Callithrix jacchus: one gene and its partners. The protein of the gene in region 2 binds, or shares a complex with, the protein of the main gene of each other region. Links are inferred from orthologs where the notes say so. Each region holds a gene or a part of one and is shown on either strand. Other genes may lie near its edges. The genes, in order: CHD4, CDK2AP2 and MTA2.

Region 1 (3,644 bases), on a different chromosome or scaffold from region 2:
CGGAGGAAGCCCAAGGGCAGCCCTCGTGTACCTGATGCCAAGAAGCCTAAACCCAAGAAAGTAGCTCCCCTGAAAATCAAGTTGGGAGGTTTTGGTTCCAAGCGTAAGAGATCCTCGGTGAGAGCCCAGCCCGTCACTTTAGGGAGGGTGCCATGTCAATAGAAAGGCTGTGACCTTATGTCAGGACCTGTCCTTCATAGGCATGTAAGAATGTGGTGAGTTGCCCAGAGAACAAGAGACTAGGCTCCCTATATAACGGTGCTTGCTGGGATTCGAGTATCCACAGTGAGACGGTACTCCCCTCCTTGCCACTTTCTCCTTCCCCTTGGCTTGAGAACGTCTAACCTTATTCTTTTTCATTCTGCCAGAGTGAGGATGATGACTTAGATGTGGAATCAGACTTCGATGATGCCAGTATCAATAGCTATTCTGTTTCTGATGGTTCCACCAGCCGTAGTAGCCGCAGCCGAAAGAAACTACGAACTACAAAGAAGAAAAAGAAAGGTGTGTTTCTTTTCTGTATATTTGTGATGGGATGAGGTGGGAATGATTGGGGAAGAATCTCCCTAAGGAGATAGGGGTTGGGGGGTGGGGGGAGGTAGTTTTTTTCTAATAACTGGGCTTTCCCTCTTCCTTGCCCAGGCGAGGAGGAGGTGACTGCTGTGGATGGTTATGAGACAGACCACCAGGACTATTGCGAGGTGTGCCAGCAAGGCGGTGAGATCATCCTGTGTGATACCTGTCCCCGAGCTTACCACATGGTCTGCCTGGATCCTGACATGGAGAAGGCTCCCGAGGGCAAGTGGAGCTGCCCACACTGCGTGAGTGTCTGGCTGTTGTGGCCCCTTGGAGCCCATGAGAGGAAGGGTGGGACAGTAAAGCTCTTTGGGGCCTGTATGGAAATAGAAATGCTGCTGCTTCGGGTTGTGAGCTTTGGGAAGCATTCGAATGGATGGGAATGATGGAGCCACTGGCTTCAGACTTTGGTTGGTGAGTGCATGGGTAGGTGGGTGGGTGGTAATAACGTGAATCTGTGGTCTTTTACTGCAGGAGAAGGAAGGCATCCAGTGGGAGGCTAAAGAAGACAATTCAGAGGGTGAGGAGATCCTAGAAGAGGTTGGGGGAGACCTTGAAGAGGAGGATGACCACCATATGGAATTCTGTCGGGTCTGCAAGGATGGTGGGGAGCTGCTTTGCTGTGACACCTGTCCTTCATCCTACCACATCCACTGCCTGAATCCCCCACTTCCAGAGATCCCCAACGGTGAATGGCTGTGTCCCCGTTGTACGGTGAGTGACTGATCTCAGCCAGGGCAGAAGACGTGGAAAGAGTAGTCTTTTCTATGCAGGGTATTGTGAGGCTGAGGTGCAGGAGAGGAACTATGAGCTTTTTAGTCCTGAGACAGGTATTTTCCTTCATCCTGTAGTGTTGGGATACTTTTGTCCTGGGAAAATGTAGGACTAACTTCAAACAGAGGAGTAGATGTTTTGCCAGCTCCCTTAGAGGAGATGAAGCCATGTTTTTCTAGCTGAGAATGTTTGTCCTTGTTTGACACTCTGCCTCAGGGTCTTGGTAGCTTACAGTGTTTTTGATGTTTTTGTTAAAAAAATTTTTTTTTGGAGACAGGGTCTCTGTCATCCAGGTTAGACTGCAGTGGTGTGATCATAACCCACTGCAGCCTCCAACTCTTGGGCTCAAATGATCCTCCTATCTCAGCCTCTCGCTGAGTAGCTAGGAGTACAGGTGCCTGCCACCACATCCAGGTAATTAAAAAAAAAAAAAAATTCTTGGCTGGGCGTGGTGGCTCACACCTGGAATCCAAGCACTTTGGAGGCCAAGGTGGGCGGATCACCTGAGGTTGGGAGTTCAAGACCAGCCTGACCAACATGGTAAAAAAAAAAATTCTCTGTAGAGACAGGGTCTCACTATTTTGACCAGGCTGGTCTTGAACTCTTGGTTTCAAACCACTGTGCCCCCTTGTCCTCCTTAAGTGCTGGCATTACTGGTGTATACCACCATGCCAGCCAGTTTAGAATGTTGAATAGGGCCACTTACTGCTTTTAGATTGCTTAAGGGAGGAATTCTGTGCTCTAAGTCTGTTGATTTCCTGTGCCCACTGGTTCTGGATTATTGTTAAAGTCTAACTACTGGCTCTGTTAAGCAGATAGGAGTGACGGTGGCACACAAATCCTGGATGATGTCCAGAAACGGAGAGGGAATTCTATCCCAGGTTGAGCACGCTAATCCAAAAATGTGAAATCCGAAACACTTCTGGTCCCAATCATTTCAGATGAGGGGTCCTCAACCTGCATTCTCTCTCTGGAGGAGTTCTGGGATTAGATTTTATTTGAAATGAGATCTTAATCGTCCTTTGATGAAGTTGAGACTGGGCTGTCCCTTTTCCCCGCATGGTTATGATTTGGGATTAGGTTGTCTCTTTTTCTCTCAGTGTCCAGCTCTTAAGGGCAAAGTGCAGAAGATCCTTATCTGGAAGTGGGGTCAGCCACCGTCTCCCACACCAGTACCTCGGCCTCCAGATGCTGATCCCAGTACACCCTCCCCAAAGCCCTTGGAGGGGCGGCCAGAGCGGCAGTTCTTTGTGAAATGGCAAGGCATGTCTTACTGGCACTGCTCCTGGGTGTCTGAACTGCAGGTAAGTCTAGCACAGGTTGGAGATGCAGGGGCTACGATGAAGAGGGTAGTGAAAACAGCCTTGTGAATAGAAGGAATGAACACAGCTTCTTGGTGGCTGATTTTCTCTTTCCACTCGAAGCTGGAGCTGCACTGTCAGGTGATGTTCCGAAACTATCAGCGGAAGAATGATATGGATGAGCCACCTTCTGGGGACTTTGGTGGTGATGAAGAAAAGAGCCGAAAGCGGAAGAACAAGGATCCTAAATTTGCAGAGATGGAAGAACGCTTCTATCGCTATGGGATAAAACCTGAGTGGATGATGATCCACCGAATTCTTAACCACAGGTACCAGCTGGGCACATGGGAGATGGGCAGTTTCCGTGGGAGACCCTGCTAAAGGGATTGGGAAAGTGGATGTAACCAATAGCTTAGACTTGGAAGACACTTTTTTTTTTTTGAGACAGTGTCTTGCTCTGTGCCCAGGCTGCAGTGCAGTGGCGTGATCTTTGCTCACTGCAATCTCCACCTCCCAGGTTCAAGTGATTCTCCTGCCTCAGCCTCCTAAGTAGCTGGGACTACAGGCATGAGCCACCATGCCCAGCTGATTTTTGTATTTTTAGTAGAGACAGGGTTTCACTATGTTGGCTAGGCTGGTCTGGATCTCTTGACCTCAGTTGATCAGCCCGTTTCAGGCTCCCAAAGTGCTGGGATTTTGGGAGCTCCAAAATGATCACCTCACGTGATCAGCCCGTTTCAGGCTCCCAAAGTGCTGGGATTTTGGGAGCTCCAAAATGATCACCTCAGGTGATCAGCCTGTTTCAGGCTCCCAAAGTGCTGGGATTTTGGGATCTCCAAAATGATCTCCTCACGTGATCAGCCTGTTTCAGGCTCCCAAAGTGCTATGATTACAGGCATGAGCCACCACTCCTAGTTGTTTGTTTTTCTGAGATGGAGTCTTGCTCTGTTGCCCAGGCTGGAGTGCAGTGGTGTGACCTTGGCTTACTGCAGC
Region 2 (3,422 bases):
GGGTCCACAAGTCTGGCGAGCCAGCCACCCGGAGTCTGGGCAAAGGGCGAGGCACCCTAAGGAACCCCAAGGCTGGGCTCCTGGGATCACGCCCAGCCTGCTACAGGTGCTGCGGCGGTGACGGCAGCACCCGCCAGCCTCTCTGCTTGACTCTGAGGCCAGTGCTGGAAGCAGCAGTGTGCATTCTCTCTGCGGTGTCAGAGACCTTCAGGGCTGATTCAGAGGCTGGGGTGTTGTCAGGGCATTAGGGAGTGTAAGGGAGTGGCTTACGTGAACTGGCATTTCCACGCTGCCAGGCATCACTGCCAATCCAGAGGAAGTGCCCTCCAGGCCCAGGCTGCCCACAGCGCAAAGGGCTGTGGAAGCAGCCAGGCCCTGCTCTGCCCCCTGGTGGCACCACAGGAAGGCCCAGGGCTCTCAGCACCAGGGCTGGGGCAGGAGAGGGCCTGGGTCCCACAGGAGGCCTGTGGCCCACAGAGGCAAGTCAAACCCCATTCAGTCACACCCTCCCCACCCCTAGTCTCCTCTTCCTTCTCTGCCTGGCCCACCCAGGCTTAACTGAAGAACCAGACCCAGAAAGGCTCAGAGCTGACAGCACAACTCCAAATCATCTTTTATTAATATAAAAAGGGCATATTTAGCAAAAGACACACAGAGAAAAGAGTCACTATGGCCCAGGACACAAGGCAAGCAGGTGCCAGGCCTGAGCCCCTGCTGGGAGAGAGGGAGGCTCGGGACGAAGTGGGAGAAGTGCTGGGAGGGGCTGAGCAGTGGGGGCCACAGAAAGTTCCGGTGGGCAACACTGTCGGCAGGTCATGGGCGCGACTCACAGGGACCTCGCTGCTAAACTCTTGTTGTGGGGGGGGTCGTTCTTAGTGCTGCCACCTGGAGTGAGAGCCACCCTTTGGTTCCTGGAGGGCACCCACCAAAGGACACAGGACAGGAAGCCCAGGATGGTTAGTGCAACTCGGGATGATGGCCAGGGAGAAGCGGGTGCTCTGCAGTGGCCGGGAAAGGTCCAGACGCTGAGGCCGAGAGGCTTCCTGTTACGTGCGGGCGTTCCGCTCTGTCTCTGCCAGGCACTCTCTGACTAGGGCCCGGGCATGGATGATACCTGGGGGTAGGGTGGGGTCTCAGCAACCCTCCATAGCCCCACCTCCGCCCTCCAGAGGACCACCACTGCCTCCCCACTCCCTTTCCTTTCGGCAAGAGAAATTCAAATCTAATAATGGCGAGATGAGATTAGAGGTTTGGCTAATCCTCAAGGTGGCCCTGTTGAAATACAAATTCCCAGGCTCTTCCCTGGAAACGGACTCAATTTCAATTCAAAATACCTCTCTGCATAGTAATACTGGCCCTAGTCTAGGCGTCGCTCGGGTGGCCTCCAGATGTCCTTACTTCCCTAATGAAGGATAGTGCAGTGTCGGCTTCCTGAGCAGGGGAGCAGGGCAGGGCAGGGCGGCCTGGCCTCACTTACCTCTCTTCAGGCGCTCCATGGCACTCTTGCTGCCAGCATAGGTGGGCCGGATCTCTTTGCCCATCTCCTCTATGACGGACAGCAGGTCCGTGTAGGTGCTCTGGGAGCCCTGGGCGCCGGGTGGCTTCATCGCCTATGTCAAAAGAGAACAGGGCAGTGAGCTCAGGCACCTGGCAGGGAAGGAAACTCCAGTCCCCATCCATAAGCAAGGCTTTGGCCCCACTCACCTGCACATAGCCCATGGAAGGCGGTCCAAAGTCGTTAAACAGCGGTCTGAAAGGGGCGGCGGCTCCTGGCACTGAGCCCGACGGCGACGGCACGCTTCCTGCAGCAACAGGCGCGAGTAAGAGGTCAGCGCTGGGCAGGGACGCGCCTCCCTGCTTTTCCAAGCCCAGGACCGCGTTCGCCCGATTCCCTCCAAAGGATGCTTCATTCCATGCTGATTAACTTCAGGGACAAATCCCTCCCCCTGAGCTCCACCTACAAGCCCTTACATGACCACGCCCATTTCACAGGCCAGCAAACTGAGGCTCAGCGAGGGGTAGGCGGCAGGCCCAGTATTGCAGAACTCAGGCCGTCTTCTCTTCGAGACCTCGACCGCCCGGCAGGCGAGCAGGGGTGGAGCTGGATCCTCACCTGTAGGGACCGGGGTGCCCGGCCCAGGGGTGCTGGAGCCAGGGGTGCTGCTGGGGGCGGGGGCGATGGGTTTGTAGGACATCCCCAACTCCTGGGCGCGGCGGACGCCAGCCAGCCGCTCCTCGGGGGTTGGCCGCCGGGCCGCTCAGCCGCGCTCTGATTGGCAAGCGGGCTGCACGCCTCTGGTAAATAGAGGTCTGGCCGGAAGGGCGAGCGGGCTCGAATGCTCCCTCACTCCCGATTGGCGCCTGAAGATGTCACTCGAGCCTCCTTATTGGACGAGACCTGCCCCAGCAGGTCGCAACCGCCACCGATTGGTCTCCGCCTTCCGGACCTCGCACCTGTCTGCTCCGGATTGGGCGGTGGCTGCCGCCCTCTGCAATTGGCGAGTTCGCCGCCCGGGCCGGCGCGCTCTCAATCCGATTAGTCCCCAGGCCTTAGAGGCGGGGCCTCGAGGCCCCGGACCCCGGGCTGGGCCGCCGGTTCGCGCCGAGGGGTCTTCCCGGACGCGGGCGCTACCCTCGCGCTTCACTCGCGCTGCTTCAGACGTCGGCTCTGCTCTGCCCAGTTTCGGCCCAGCAGGGGTTGCTGTCGCCGCTGCCGTCGCTTCTGTCGCCGCCGCTGTGCGTCCCTATCCGCTCCTGGGGCCGAAGGACGCAGAGCTTTGACGTCCCGAGCCCCGCGCCCCACCCCGTGCGCTTTTACGTCACCTTTCACCGGTTCAACACCCTCTCCCCGATCTGCGCATGCGTCCGCCCGAGGCCTGCGTTTGTTCCCATGGCAACAGGCCCTACTTCAGTGCCGCCACGCGCAGCTCTTCCTGTGGCTTGGCTGGTCGTCAGGTCCAAGGGCGACCTCAAAGACCCCTTTGCCCGCACCCCCAAGGCCCCGCGCCGCCGCCTCAGCTGGTGTCAATGGCCGTAGGGCAAACCTGCGAGATTACTGTGTGGCGGGCCGGTACCAAACTGATCAAGAGCACGGTCTGGAGCCAACCGCCTGGGTTTGAATCTCAGCACCACCCCCACTGGCGATTTCCCCCAGGCAAGTGTCTCGCCTCAGTATGCCTCAGTTTTCCCATCCGTAAAATGGGGAAAATGACGATCTCATTGGGTTGTTGTGTGGATTAAGTGAATGTCATAAAGTGCTTGTTGTTTCATTCCCCGCCTTCCTGTCCCACTCCAGGGCCCCCATACCTTTCCATTCCACCACTCAGACGCCTCCCCTCAAATCTCACTCCCCACAAACTTAAGACTTCAAACCCTCATCCACTCACTAACCCTTTCTCCCAGGCTCCTTCCCCAAGCTCAAA
Region 3 (3,744 bases), about 4.7 Mb from region 2:
GAGGGGACAGAAGAGCCTCAGGCCCAGGCTCATTGGTGCATTGTTCCCAACCTCAGGGAGAAGGGGGGTTGTGCGGTAGGCTCCACCCCTGGCCTATGTGCTCCGGAAACCCTGTGCTAAGGCAAGGGGGACCACACCCCCAACACTCATTCTGATTGGACAAGGCCAAGGTCAGCCCCTGCCAGATGGGGCTGGAAACCCTAAAGGGCCAAGGAACTTGGTAAGCCGGGATCCTTCTTAACCCCTTCTCACCCAGAACAGTCTGAAAAAGGAAAATTTAGAAAGGTGGAACAAAAGGAAGGAGAAAGAAAATCAAAGCAGGAAAGGAAAAAGAAGCTGAGGAAAACATGTTTCTTTGTGTTGTTTTTTTTTTTTAAAAAAAAAGATGAGAACTTAAAGAGAATGAAGACAGGGCAAAATGAAAAGGGAAAGATGTAAAATGGAGTGGGGGCCGGGAAATGGGTGAGGTAAGAAATGAAAAGTACAAGAAAACTTTCCTACCATCTTCCAGCTTCCAGGTATTCCCACCACCTTGTGATTACAAAATGAGCCTACTTCCCTGTTATGCGGGCCTCTCAGAACAATCTCTTCCTCTTCACCTTGACCTTCAGTCACCACCTACTGTTCTAATGTACACCAAACTGTCCCCCTTTAGAAAAGCATTCTGCTTCTCTGAAGTTCATCCTCATCCCCTAAATAAACATTATCATCTCTCTCTTACACTCATACACAAACCATATTATAGCTTTCCTTATCACAATCTCTCCACCCTGCTTCCAACCCCAACGTGTAAAAACAGGCCTCCCTCCTCAGACCAGGTATTTCCCACCCCTAAATTCACACCTCTGCCTTGGGCATGCTACCAGGAGAAACTCCTGCAGGGACATGCCCAGGCCTCAGATCATGGGGAGGGGGAAAAGAAAGAGATGAAGGTACTCACTGGCATTACTATCAGCCAGGCTGTTGAGACTACTAGAAATGTCCCTGCGCCGGAAAAGACAGACAACCTTTGCCTCCACATTTCCATTTGCAGTCTAAGGAGAGAAAAAAAAAATGTAGCAGTGAAAAATTGATCATCTGGGTACAGAAATGCACAGAGACAAATAACAGTAAGTTTCAGAGGAACCTAAATAAAAAATCCCAAGAAAATAGGAGTAAAGACTTACATTCAAGGACAGACTTCCAAATCCCTTTCCTTTGCCCCCAAGAGACAGAATAGTAAGTTCCTGCTAAGCTCTCAATAGCCTTTCCTGAATACATCCAATGAATGAATGAATGAATATGAATAGATACTTAGTATAGAGTCCTCTCTTCCACCAGAAGTTAGAAACCTCAGAAGAAAGAGACCACTGGGGGAGGGAGGGAGAGGGATTCTGCTCCACTCACCTTGTTGAGCTCCTCAATCCGTCTAACCAGGTAAGGATTGCTAGAGGAGTTCTCAAAATAGACGTAATCTGTAAGGGAGGGGAGGGGGAAGAACCACGAAGATCAGAGGACGAGACGGGAGACACAGAGCACGAGAGTAGGAGAGAAAGTTGGCCTGAGTGGACCAAAAGAAGATAAAGATCCAGGTAGAGAGGGCGCTGAGATGTGAAAGTGGAAAGACTAAGAGAAAATAAGGATGTTCCCCATCCCCACCACGCCTAGTTCTAAAATCGGATCCTTCACAGAAAAGTGAGCCTTAAGGAACAGGCAAGAAGCAGGGGTTCCCCTGCGTCCCCACAACTCAGCTATGAGTTGCAGCCCAGTCGCGGCGAAGTCATTGTTCACGCTGGCGCTGGGCCCCCACCTTTTCGAACCGAGGCGCACAATAACGCCTGGGAAGAGGAAATCTCCGGGCGGCTCCCCCGCGGTGGCAAAGCCGTCGCCCCAGCCCCTCGCGTCGCCTCCCTACCAGGTCAGCTCCTTCTGAACCAGTTTCCAAAGCCCACTCTGTACCCGGGGGAGCCCCCGACGCAGCCCTGAGAGTGCCGTCGGGGCTGCCCGCAGCTTCTCTCCGGGAGTCTCGGCACCCTGCCGCGTCGCGGTCGCCGTTCCCGCACCCTCACTTCCCCGCTCCCAGTCTCCCGGTTCCGGTTCCGGTCCGCGCTCGGGTCCACGCTGCCCCAGACGCGGCGCCCCGCGCCACCAGGTGCGGAGTCCCTCCGGTCCCGACCCCAACATCTCCCGCCCCGGGCCCCGCACCCCTGCGCCCGGTACTCACCCCCCACCCGGTACATGTTGGCCGCCATGGCCGTTCCCGCCGCCGCCTCCGGCCGCACAAAGGGGTCCGGAAGGCTCGCGGAGGCAGGGCTCGGCTCGAGGCAAAGCCCCGAGCGTGGGGCTGTAGCTTCAAGGGAGTCTCAGTGGGGCCCGCGCAGCCGGCACCTCCACTGCCTCAGCCGTCGCGGTTCATCCCGGCCCGCGCTGTCGCCGCGGCAGATATCGCCCCACTCCCGGGACGCTGAGGCCGGCCCCGGTCCGCTCGGCTTCTTCCGGAACGAGCTCGGCTCCTGCCAGGCCAGAGCTAAGCTCCAGCTACCCCCGCCCCCGCCGAGTCCCACTAGTCGTTGGGATCTGCCGGCCGCAGGGAAGGCTTGCCCGGCCCGCCTCGGGGTTCGCCTCCTTCCGGAACACCTTCGGCCGATCCGGAGAACAAGGCCCACCGTTCGGCTTAGGTCGTAGAGCGAGACCCCGCAGATCGGCTACTTCCGGAAGAGGTTCGGCTCCTGTCGGCCAACAGCGGCCCGGCACTCGGCTATTTCCGTCGCAGCTCGGACCCACCCCATTTTTCCGAGGGCGGGAGAGAAGTCGGACTTAACTGTGTACTCGCTGGGTCCCTGCAGCTTCTCCTGCCGCCCCGAAAGACTCGCGCGCCTTCGCGCTTAACCAGGTTATTTGCAAGCGGCTTTGCCTGTTATTTGCATAAATGGTCTACGCTCCCTTACCCTTTCCGCACGCCTCTTTTCCTTCGTCCCCACCCCACAAGGCCCCGGAGGCCCCCAGCAGCGCCCCACAAAAGCACCGGGAGGCGACTTTGGTTCTCGTTTATTGCCCCTCAGCAGGCAGCGGGAGTCAAGGCCTAGGCTGGGGCTGCCCAGCTCAGCCAGCGGGTCTAAACAGTGTGTGCAGGGGCGCCGTTCGCGCCCTCCAGGGAAATGCGCGATCGGGAATGTCTGGAAGTCAGTCGAGGAGTCAGCCCCGGGTCTAAAGGAACTAGGGCGGGGCGGGGCGGGTCCACGCCTTCAGCCAGTTGGTCCGCCAGGCCGAGATCAAACGTCAAGGGAGGAGGCGGGGGACAGGGAGGGGGTTCGAGAGGGCGTGGCGGGCGCTGGCCCCGCGCCCCCTGCTCCCAGCATTCGCCACTGGAAGATGCTGGCATCCTTGCCGCCCAGCGAGACGAGGTGCGAGTCGTCGTACGTGAACCGGACGCTGGTCACGTGGCTGCCGTGGCCACCGTACATGCGGCTCGGCGCCTGGACAGGAGGGAAGGGAGTTGCGGTGGCGGCGGAGCCCTCGGGCCCACCCGTCCTGTCCCGCCCCACCCCGCCCCGGAGGCCCCTGCGGCCTCACCTTGGCACGAGCACACGGGTACTGGAAAAGATGCACTTTGCAGAAGTCGTCAGCCACCGCCACCACGCGCTCATTGTGGGAGCGGCACAGGGAGTTGATGTCGGTCCCATCGGAGCCGTCCGGCCACACGCCTAGCACAGCGGCCGGCCTCAGCCCGACCTCCTCCCCACTGCCACCCACGGCCCAGAGCTG

Evidence for each region.
Region 1: CDK2AP2 (region 2) and CHD4 share a complex: the UniProt entries of both Homo sapiens proteins name them as parts of the nucleosome remodeling and deacetylase (NuRD) repressor complex. The link is inferred for Callithrix jacchus from reciprocal best matches to the Homo sapiens genes CDK2AP2 and CHD4.
Region 3: CDK2AP2 (region 2) and MTA2 share a complex: the UniProt entries of both Homo sapiens proteins name them as parts of the nucleosome remodeling and deacetylase (NuRD) repressor complex. The link is inferred for Callithrix jacchus from reciprocal best matches to the Homo sapiens genes CDK2AP2 and MTA2.

Annotation. Positions count from the first base shown.
Region 1 is NC_133510.1:20,787,602-20,791,245, reverse strand, and holds part of CHD4 (chromodomain-helicase-DNA-binding protein 4), read left to right. Parts: coding exon 1-117; intron 118-368; coding exon 369-504; intron 505-642; coding exon 643-821; intron 822-1,050; coding exon 1,051-1,290; intron 1,291-2,450; coding exon 2,451-2,654; intron 2,655-2,774; coding exon 2,775-2,980; intron 2,981-3,644. UniProt on the Homo sapiens protein: ATP-dependent chromatin-remodeling factor that binds and distorts nucleosomal DNA. Acts as a component of the histone deacetylase NuRD complex which participates in the remodeling of chromatin.
Region 2 is NC_133511.1:124,584,754-124,588,175, forward strand, and holds CDK2AP2 (cyclin-dependent kinase 2-associated protein 2), read right to left. Parts: upstream 2,276-3,422; 5' UTR 2,196-2,275; coding exon 2,114-2,195; exon of another isoform or gene 1,972-2,113; intron 1,803-1,971; coding exon 1,705-1,802; intron 1,611-1,704; coding exon 1,478-1,610; intron 1,115-1,477; coding exon 1,047-1,114; 3' UTR 590-1,046; downstream 1-589. UniProt on the Homo sapiens protein: Acts as a component of the histone deacetylase NuRD complex which participates in the remodeling of chromatin.
Region 3 is NC_133511.1:119,871,237-119,874,980, forward strand, and holds the start of MTA2 (metastasis-associated protein MTA2), read right to left. Parts: upstream 2,610-3,744; 5' UTR 2,232-2,609; coding exon 2,204-2,231; intron 1,455-2,203; coding exon 1,387-1,454; intron 1,035-1,386; coding exon 941-1,034; intron 1-940. Other genes in the region: EML3 (echinoderm microtubule-associated protein-like 3), read right to left, coding at 3,252-3,455, 3,553-3,683. UniProt on the Homo sapiens protein: May function as a transcriptional coregulator. Acts as a component of the histone deacetylase NuRD complex which participates in the remodeling of chromatin.